Xenopus tropicalis: one gene and its partner. Each later gene encodes a partner of the first gene's protein in a complex. Links are inferred from orthologs where the notes say so. Each region holds a gene or a part of one and is shown in the gene's direction. Other genes may lie near its edges.

Region 1 (4,306 bases):
GTTGCACACAAAGCCAACAGTAGTGCATTGTACAGTATAATTCATTATTCTCAATCACTAATGCATGTGTCAGCTATAAGAAATAGTTGTATTTACTCTAAAACAAAGCCTGAAAAAAAGCATTTCATTTATGTACCTTGAAAACTTTGTCTCTTTTATTCTGAGTCCTTAACATTGTCTTTCATTAACGTTTTTATCAGGATATTGGTCCCAGATGCTATAGTTACTTTAAAAAAAAGTTGTAACAATTGGCCCATTTTGCAGGATGTGGTGTAACAGAGTAGAAGAGCGAACCACTGATTGCTTTGGACTGTAGGGTATGCATAGTGCTAATAAATCGCAGTTGGTTAACCATTTTCCTGTATGTTCGTTGTAGCCATGCCTTCTTCCTTCCAAGTACAAGATGCACCCCAAACGTATTCAGTATAGCAGACGGAGAGTGGTGTTTTTAATTAAGCTGAACTAATTCATCAGTACCCCCTGTTCTGCCGCATGTACCCTCAGGGTTACACATACCGCTAGAAGTTGAAACTAAATCATAGCGCGCACACTATGCAAGAGCCAATGAATGTTAAATAGTATCTTGCTGCATAAAGAAAGTCGCTCTGAATGCACATTTCCTGTTGAAAACTGTTTCCAGCTGGACCGGTAGGGATAACAAAAGGATGTCTATTTCTCTTCAGTCAAGCCCTCATGTAAAATGAGATGGGTGCGCTGTTCATTGCCTGCATTTAATCAGTCGCAGGCTCTCCACACAGCTTTATTTGTTTAAGCACTGAAGCCCTCAAGGGTCACCATCCACGTTAGCCCCTATTTCCACATCTATTGATGTCACAGACAATTTGCATTTACTGTATAATGATGAGTCCTAACATTTTGTTGGTCAGAATTTTACTGCTGAATTGTCGCATTTTATACAACACTTATTACATGGGTGCCAGATGGGTTTTTGAATTAATGGAACTATGTGGGCACAGTGCTTCCTGTCCTTGACTATGTTTTCAAGGTTTGACATTTTATGTGACTGTTAATTTGGTTTATATATAACTAGCAGGGTTAGCAATATTTGGGTCCTGTTATAATGTGCCCTGTTTTATGTAGGATTTACATTTTATTTATGGTAAGCTTACCCTTTACAGCGAGCATTTGTCTTGTCATATGTGTATTTATCCATGCTAGTGGCAACTGCCATACTGCTTGTGTTCAATCCGTGCTTGGGTGGGTTTTCCTTGGGGTACTCCTTTCCTCCCACACCCCATAAAAATACAGGCAGGTTAATTGGCTCCTGATAAAATTGTCCCTATTGTGTTTGAAAGATGTATAATCTCTGTAAAGCATTGAGGAATATAGCAGTGCCATACAAATAAAGAATAATCTCTAGAACCCAGATAAATAAATTGTGCTGTTGTATCTATGCAGAATGTATTAGCACAGGCAAGGGATATGGTGGTTCTCAGTTTTAGATATTCATTAGAGATTTAAGAGATTTTATATTGATTGCATCAGTGTAACCATCCTCCATCAGGGAATTAAATCAATTAAGGTGTGCTACATGGTGGAAAAACAGCTTCTTGTAGCCCCAGGTGCACACTGTACCCTCTGCCCGGGTAAAACAATATCAATAGTGAAAACAGCAGCACTCCAGTTATTTTGAAAATAGTGACTTTTACTTAAGTGCAAAAGGCAATGTTTCAGGATTTAATTCAGCCCTTTATCAAGCCTGTGGATGGAAAACGTTGCCTTTTGCACTTAAGTAAATGTCACTATTTTCACTATTGACATCCCCAACAGGGTAACACAATCATTTAGGTAATTATAAATATATGGTATGCTATCTTTCAAATGATGGTTCTCCACCCAAAATTTTTTTTGCACACTTAAAGAAAATGTAAATCTAAGTAACTTTCCAATAAGTTTATTCAAAAAATTGTATTGGTTTTACGTTTTTTTTTTCAACCTTTTGAATTGCTTATTGTAGAGACAATGGGGAAGCCTTCCCATAATTCAGAGCTTTTTGGATAACGGGTTTTTGGATCAGGGACTCTATACTTGTACCATAAGCATATATATATATAAGATTATATATATAATATATATAATTATATATAAGACTTGTTATGTTATGCTTGGGACCTGGGGTTTTCTAGATAAGGGATCTTTCCATAATTTGAATAATAAAAAATTATATAAACATTAATTAAAACTAATAGGATTATTTTTCCTCCAATAAGGATTAATTGTAGCTTATTTAAGATGAAATACAATGTACTTTTTTATTATAACAGACGAACAGGAGATCATTTAAAAAAAAAATTGAATTATTTGTGTTTGTGTACTGTGTACTGTGTTTCAATGTAGCTAAATGGAAGGGAAACAATATCTACTGGGTGGCTATACTTTGCAGTAATATCAGATACGAAAATAATGGCATTATATACTGTGTTCCCCTTGGTTGTACAATAAATGACTGTTAAATAGAGACAGGATAAACCTTAAAAGCCTTGTAGAAAGTGATCTTGTTAAAGAAAAGTATTAGCTCTCCTTAAAATCAGCAAGACACCACAATGCAGCAATTATCTGAATGAAATGACTCTTGGTCTCTGCCTCTAGGTTATTTTTAAGAGGCTTTCACATTCCAGAATTCCCAGGGGACCTTTATGTAGTGGATATTAAGAAGGTCAGAAAACCCCATCTTAGTCTAAATGAAGTATATACTGATCTTTCACCCCTGTCACTCCAAGAGCCGACGTGTGGAGGGGCCAACAACGATCATCAAACCCAGCTTCCTTGTTTTGTATGCAGGTTTTAAAATCCCTTTATGATTCTGGCCCCTCCACTGATTAGACATGAAAGTTGATCTTAGTTACTAAAAACTGACTAAACATTACTCATTTCAACTGATAACTGTTTACGTGCCCCCTTTTAATGCTCTAGCAATCATATACCATGGAGATCAATATGTATAAGCTACAACTATTAGTCCCAGAGCAATCACATCTTTCTATGCAAAAAGCAGTGTAATATGTCAGGGCTAAATATATAAAATATAAGCCAGTTTGGTATTCATGGGGGCAAGTCTGATGCTGTATAACAATTTTTACATTTGGGTTGTGTAATACAGGAGAGACCCCCTTTTTAGGGCCCCTTTGAGATAACTCATTCCATACAAGTTTCAAATGTGATATAGGCACGCAATACTTAACTGTTTAATAGTATTTTATATAAGCTGAATTTTAAGGCCAATAGCACACAGGGTGGGACACTCTGTCTAAATGCCATAGTTTCAAGAAACCCAAACAGGTAGCACTAAAATGCTGCAGATCACCCTGATTAACTGCTATGCACATTACCTGCAAGGCACTTACACAAGTGATTTCAGATGTTTCACATAAAAGTCAGACAGGGCTGTTTTGGGCACTTTAGCACCATGTGTTTGCCAGCTTGAAAACACAGAGTTACAATCTCCCAAAATGATTCTGTAGGCCAGGACCAAATTGTCATGTCTTATTCCAAAATAACCTGCAGAACACCATATAAAAATCAGAAGTGGAAGATAAGAAGAGATGGCCCAAGAGCAGCTGAGAGACAGAAAGATGCAGAAGATGTAGTGGCATGAGAAAACTGAAACTTTTTGGTTAATTCCTGTTTTCTCTTTTCTTTGCAGTTCTACAAAGTTGCAAAAGACTGGTGGCTCTTTGGGTGCTACTTTTGTGTGCCTTTGGCTTGCACTGGGGTGTTTTATACTATGATGACCTGCGAAATGCTGCACCAGAGGAAAGGAAGCCTACGGATTGCTCTTAGTGAGCACCTGAAACAGGTAAATAACGCTGTTACCCTATCACTCTTGCAGTGTGCGGATTAACTATTACTGGTATATGTATTTGGACACAGCTTTTTATTAGTACAAATTCAAAACTGACAGGCATCGGAATAATTGGGAAATTGCTGTACTTGAAAGGGGGGGCGGGGCGAGGCACAACAACAGATGTACTCACTGATAAACTGCTTTTAGCATTTTTTTGTACTTAAGCTTTTATGCATTTGTAGAACTTCAGCTGTCTGGAATCCAACCTCTTTTATTTTAACTGTCTGCAAGGATATAGTCCTGTCCTGCAGGGCAAAGGCTGCTGTACAATAGCTGTAAAGCTGGAAGTCAAAAGAACATTTCCCTTTGACCTCTGCCCTGGGCCCCCATGCAAAATAAAACATTTCCAGAGGGGACCAAAACAGAGTAGAAAATCCCTACCTGGCCCCCATCCCCTAGCCCACATATAAATCCCTGCTCCTACCAGAGAGTTGTGGGGAG
Region 2 (5,089 bases), on another chromosome or scaffold:
AAAACATGTCCACTAAATTTACCAGCTTTTATTAGAAAGATTCCTTGGGAATGTATATTCCAATAGAAAAATACATTCGATTAGAAAATAAATTAGAAAATAAATTGAACTAAATTGTAGGTATATCCCCCAGTTGCCATTTCTGGGGAATAGGCTTCTGTCAACAGTTATATCAGATGAAAGGTCTGATGGTGGGTCCATTGTCCTGGTGGGTCCATTGTCCTGGTGGGTCCATTGTCCTGGTGAGTCCATTGTCCTGGTGGGTCCATTGTCCTGGTGGGTCCTGGTGGGTCCTGGGCAAAAGTCCCTTTTTCCATTTGATTAAAATGGCCCCAAGTAAGATAGCTGTTGTTTCATACCAACACATTCTTTGAGGAGTAGATCTAGCAGATATAGATGGGTGTATACATCAAATATTCCAATTGCATGCAGATATTAACTAGTACTGAAAGTGAAAGAGGTCCCTGCATATTAGAACTTACAATCTTAAAGGAGAAGAGTATGAGACACACATTGTAAAACTAATCACTGGCCATCAAAAGCATAACAGACTGCTTAATGTGTTTTTAATGACTGTGGGAGGAAACCAAGGCAAAAAGATGAAGCCTGCACAAACACATGATAGTATTCAACCTGCACAAAGATGGTGCCCTGGTCACAATCAGACTTGCAAGGAAGCCCCTCTATATAAAAGAAAAATGATTGTATACTAAACACTTGGATTGTTAAAAAAAACACGCTCATTAACACCTTATTTGCTGAATTCACTGACCAGAGTTAAGCAGTGCCCTGATTTGTATGGGTGCATGGCCATCTTCATGGTTGTAAAGAAGGTACAACTGTAGGGTTGATCATTTGGTAGGCCCTGCAAATCAACAAGGGACCCCAAATGCTGCATTTGCATGGGGCCCTAAAGGAAAAATGGGTTTCAGGTGACCTGGGCAGGAGCACAAACATACCAGGGTCATGTTTTAAAACAGAAGCCAAACAGTCTGCTATTTATATAGAAAAAAACTGGAGCCCATGTAATGAATGTTTGAACAGATATTGTGGAACAGTTTGTGTTCATTTCATACACCACTAAAAGTGAGTTTTTATACATAAACTAAAAAACCCTTCCCTGTAGTTTCTAAATGGAAGCAGTGTCCGGTTGCACAATGGCTGGCTCCTGTAAGGACATGCATTGCTACAAACTAGAGTGCCCTGTAGACAACATGTGCCAAGGTAGTGGGATCCTTTATAAATCCATTCAGCTTTGCACATGTATGCCACCTTTTCATAACTTTAGACTGATTTAGTACATATGGGTAGAATTATTGCACAGCACAACATATCTAAATTACAGGAGCTAATCTTTTAATCCAAATGATAAAGGGGGTAATCCTAAAACTGCCCCCAAAGTATAGGGAGCCCAGTGCAGCCTGATAAGCAGTTTTTTTTGTTTTCAGAGTTTGGGAGGCATACAATTACTTTGGTATAGGGCTATATTTCTTAAACAGTTGCTCCACTGCTTTGCTTGGGGAAAATAAAAAGAGAAACAGTGCAAATGTAGTATATGTAGTATTTCGGCATCTGTGTTATGTGCTCTGATAGCTTCAAGGAAGGCGTTGAGATTTTACAGCAACAAGCCAGCCACTGCTATGTGAAATCAGTATAACATTTCTACATGCCAGCCACAGTCCAAATGAAGATATATGAGTCCCAGGCACACAAACACACACCATCTCTGGCATTTATACAAAAGAGAATAGTGAAGTATTAGCACATTCTTCTTCTTTAATCGTCAATGACGATAAATATCCAGTTCTTCCAGGTAGCAATGATATTTAGTTGACAGGTGAAGCAAGAACTGAAAATACCAGAGCTTCTGTATATCACTCTGGAATTCTGCCTTTTTTTAATGCATATGCAGCGCCCTCTAGCGGCAGGAACACAGAACGACGAGGCTTTAATAGGTAAAGAGAGGGAATTTCTCAGTTAGCCCTGCCCACGGTTTGTCAGAGAGACGGCGTCTCCCTCTCTGAAGTTGCCAGAGATTTCCTCTCCAGCCTGCCCTTATCTCAGTCCGCACGTTGTACTCGGTGACTAATAGCACAATAACATTGTCTCGGAATAATATAAATTGAGGCTGTTTACAAAGTCCATGGCGGTTGAATATAAAGCGAAGTTGGCTGCACCGTAATCACTTGGCACTGTTGCACCGGAGTGGGAGCCCCTCATCCTCTCTCGCTGGACTTTGGATACTTAATTAATCGCGTTTGTTTTATCTCTATTTACTGGAAACTTTTTTTTTTTCTCAGATTCACTTTATTTTTATTGAACTCTGAATAAAGGAGAATTAAAGATCGAGACTGACCATTTTGGGGATTTTTGAACTTGCGTTTTTGAAAATCATTTTTACTATTTTCATTAAGACGATACCTATCCGGCTTCGTTATGGATCTACAAATAATTCTTTCTCTGCTGGTTGTCCTTGTGCAAGGAGTCAGTGCAACAGGTAGGGACCTGGGTGCTGTGTGCGGCGCAACCAATTGCGTGATGTACTGCCCTACCATACTGTATGCATGCATTAATACTCAGGTTCATACATGGTGGCATTATATTGGGGGGCTAATATTAGACATTGGCCATTTTTTGCCTGATACATTATCCTGGAACACCTAATGGTTGGATATTGAATCCATCTGTTGGGAAAGTTTCCATAAATGCCGCATATTAGATATTAACAGAAAAAAATGAACTTTTTTTGTTTATTTCTATCTTCAGACTCTCTAATACAGACGTAGATGTCATTTTCAGAAATGTGTGTAAGTGGATTGTGCTGCCGGGGAAATAATGCGGTTACCTTGTTTCAGGCATGGACAGGTAGCAGCGCATGAATTATCGCATACCATATACTATCGTGCATCACCTTTGGCGGTTTATGAGTTAATTGGCAACTTGGAAGCTAAATAATGTTGATTTATGTTCATGTAGGGCTTTTTAGGTATTTTTAAACAAGGGGTTATACATTGACAAGGGGAATACTGAGGATCTCATCTGAGTGCACTGGCAAGGGAAGCAAGTTGGAGCGCAGCGCAGTGAAAATGCTGATTTAGTAAATATTGTAGCTGCTGTGTGATGTACCACCAGGGGTAGCTTAGCTTGGGAGCAGAGCCTATAGTCTGTCTTTATGGGGGAAAGCAATGATCGCACAGGGGCATTGCGGAGAAGTATCTTTGGGAACAACTTGGCAGCGCTCTCCCATCAGGTGCAGCCCAGAGCAGATCGGATTATTATGGGATGGGGAATGCGGGGCACACAGGGTTATTATGGGAAGGGAAATGCGGGGCACACAGGGTTATTATGGGAAGGGGAATGCGGGGCACACAGGGTTATTATGGGAAGGGAATGCGGGCACAGGTTATTATGGAAGGGAATGCGGGGCACACAGGGTTATTATGGGAAGGGGAATGCGGGGCACACAGGGTTATTATGGGAAGGGGAATGCGGGGCACACAGGGTTATTATGGGAAGGGGAATGCGGGGCACACAGGGTTATTATGGGAAGGGGAATGCGGGGCACACAGGGTTATTATGGAGAAGGGGGAATGCGGGGCACACAGGGTTATTATGGGAAGGGGAATGCGGGGCACACAGGGTTATTATGGGAAGGGGAATGCGGGGCACACAGGGTTATTATGGGAAAGGGACTGTGGGAGAGTACAACAGGTTCTGGTTGTTAGGTGGCATAATCGCTGCGGAGACTAGAGCTGGGATTGGGAAATGAAATAATAGGCTTAGAGACTGGCTTTGTCGCGGCTTGTAGGAAGGGACAGCCCATACATAGCGAAGGCAGACAGGTGAGATTCTGGAGAATCCGTGATTACAGGGTGGGGGTGTCCCCAAAGGGAGAAGCACTGCTGCCTAGAGTTACTGCTTCTGAGAATGGGGAAGGCTTTTGCCATTGCCGGTACCTGTCAGAGACTGAACTGCTGTGACCTGATGCCTGGGGGCCTTGCTCGGTGCCATAACTGGGGCACAACTCTGAGCCTCTGTAGGTACCGTGTGACACTTCTTATTTCTTTTGATTGCTGGATGTAGTGGTGCTGCTGCTATCACTTTAGCCAGGAATAATTCCTAGTAACGCCCTTTTAAGATTTGGGGCTACTTATATCATTTATAATTTATATATCCCCCCTCACAAATGATTCTGCCACCATGAATTCGCGGAGACATCCAGATTCCCTACTTAATATGTGCCTGACTAGTACCTTGACTAGTACCTGCGCGATAGTATTAGTAACCTACAGACAGGGCAGTATCGGTAAAGGGTATTGTTGGTATGGGATATTAGTACCCCAAAAAAGACTGAGCAGACAGGGCAGTATTGTTGGTATAGGTAGGGTATTAGTAACCTAGAAGAGATTGCGCAGACGGGGCAGTATTGTTGGTATAGGGTATTAGTAACCTAGAAGAGATTGCGCAGACAGGGCAGCAGGTGTTTGGCTGCTATGTAAATGTCCCGCACTAAATGGCTGAGCCTCGCACCTGCAGCGCCGCAGCGACTGACTAAACACTGGCTGATCCCCTCCAGCGTCAGGCGCTGCTGCAATCACAATCCATTCGTGCTGTGCGGCCTCGCGTGTTCGGTCCTGTCCCTTGTGCTGTTTATAGGAATGTAAGTGCCTGTACGGGGCGGCCAGATGGAGTATTTAATAACAGCAGCTCCAGCTGAGCCAACAGGTTCTGACTGTCACGCAGTGCTGGCTGCGTGCATTAAATGATTAGACACATTCACTCTTTCAACAGCTACACGGCTGCCAGCTCATCCCGGAGCGCAAGGATCAGGCAGCAGATAGAACAGGAGGCAATGCATTCACTATAGTTATATGTATAGGGGAGAGCTGCTATTAGTTATATGTATAGGATATACAGGAGAGCTGCTATTAGTTATATGTATAGGATATACAGGAGAGCTGCTATTTAGAAAAGCACATCATTAGGTTATAGCCACTGTGTGTGCCAGACTGCTGTCTGTAGGATACATATGAGATTAATAATACAGCTCCATTACGGCTTTGTAGGGATGAGCGATTGTCATCGCCTG

The links. The genes of interacting proteins can lie anywhere in the genome.
Region 2: the proteins of ednra (region 1) and edn1 are in contact, whole or in part, in a cryo-EM structure (PDB 8HCQ), measured with the Homo sapiens proteins. The link is inferred for Xenopus tropicalis from reciprocal best matches to the Homo sapiens genes EDNRA and EDN1. Residues at the interface, in NP_001948.1 of Homo sapiens: Tyr68, Gln72, Thr73, Lys74, Tyr129, Asp133, Ile136, Asn137, Lys140, Leu141, Gly144, Arg145, Trp146, Gln165, Lys166, Val169, Glu220, Phe224, Val227, Phe229, Tyr231, His236, Lys237, Thr238, Cys239, Met240, Leu241, Asn242, Gln252, Lys255; in NP_001403492.1 of Homo sapiens: Cys53, Ser54, Leu58, Asp60, Lys61, Glu62, Cys63, Val64, Tyr65, Phe66, Cys67, His68, Leu69, Asp70, Ile71, Ile72, Trp73.

What each region holds. Positions count from the first base shown.
Region 1 is NC_030677.2:57,644,805-57,649,110, reverse strand, and holds part of ednra (endothelin-1 receptor precursor), read left to right. Parts: intron 1-3,664; coding exon 3,665-3,817; intron 3,818-4,306. UniProt on the Homo sapiens protein: Receptor for endothelin-1. Mediates its action by association with G proteins that activate a phosphatidylinositol-calcium second messenger system. The rank order of binding affinities for ET-A is: ET1 > ET2 >> ET3.
Region 2 is NC_030682.2:91,301,803-91,306,891, forward strand, and holds the start of edn1 (endothelin-1), read left to right. Parts: upstream 1-2,014; 5' UTR 2,015-2,436; coding exon 2,437-2,497; intron 2,498-5,089. UniProt on the Homo sapiens protein: Endothelins are endothelium-derived vasoconstrictor peptides. Probable ligand for G-protein coupled receptors EDNRA and EDNRB which activates PTK2B, BCAR1, BCAR3 and, GTPases RAP1 and RHOA cascade in glomerular mesangial cells.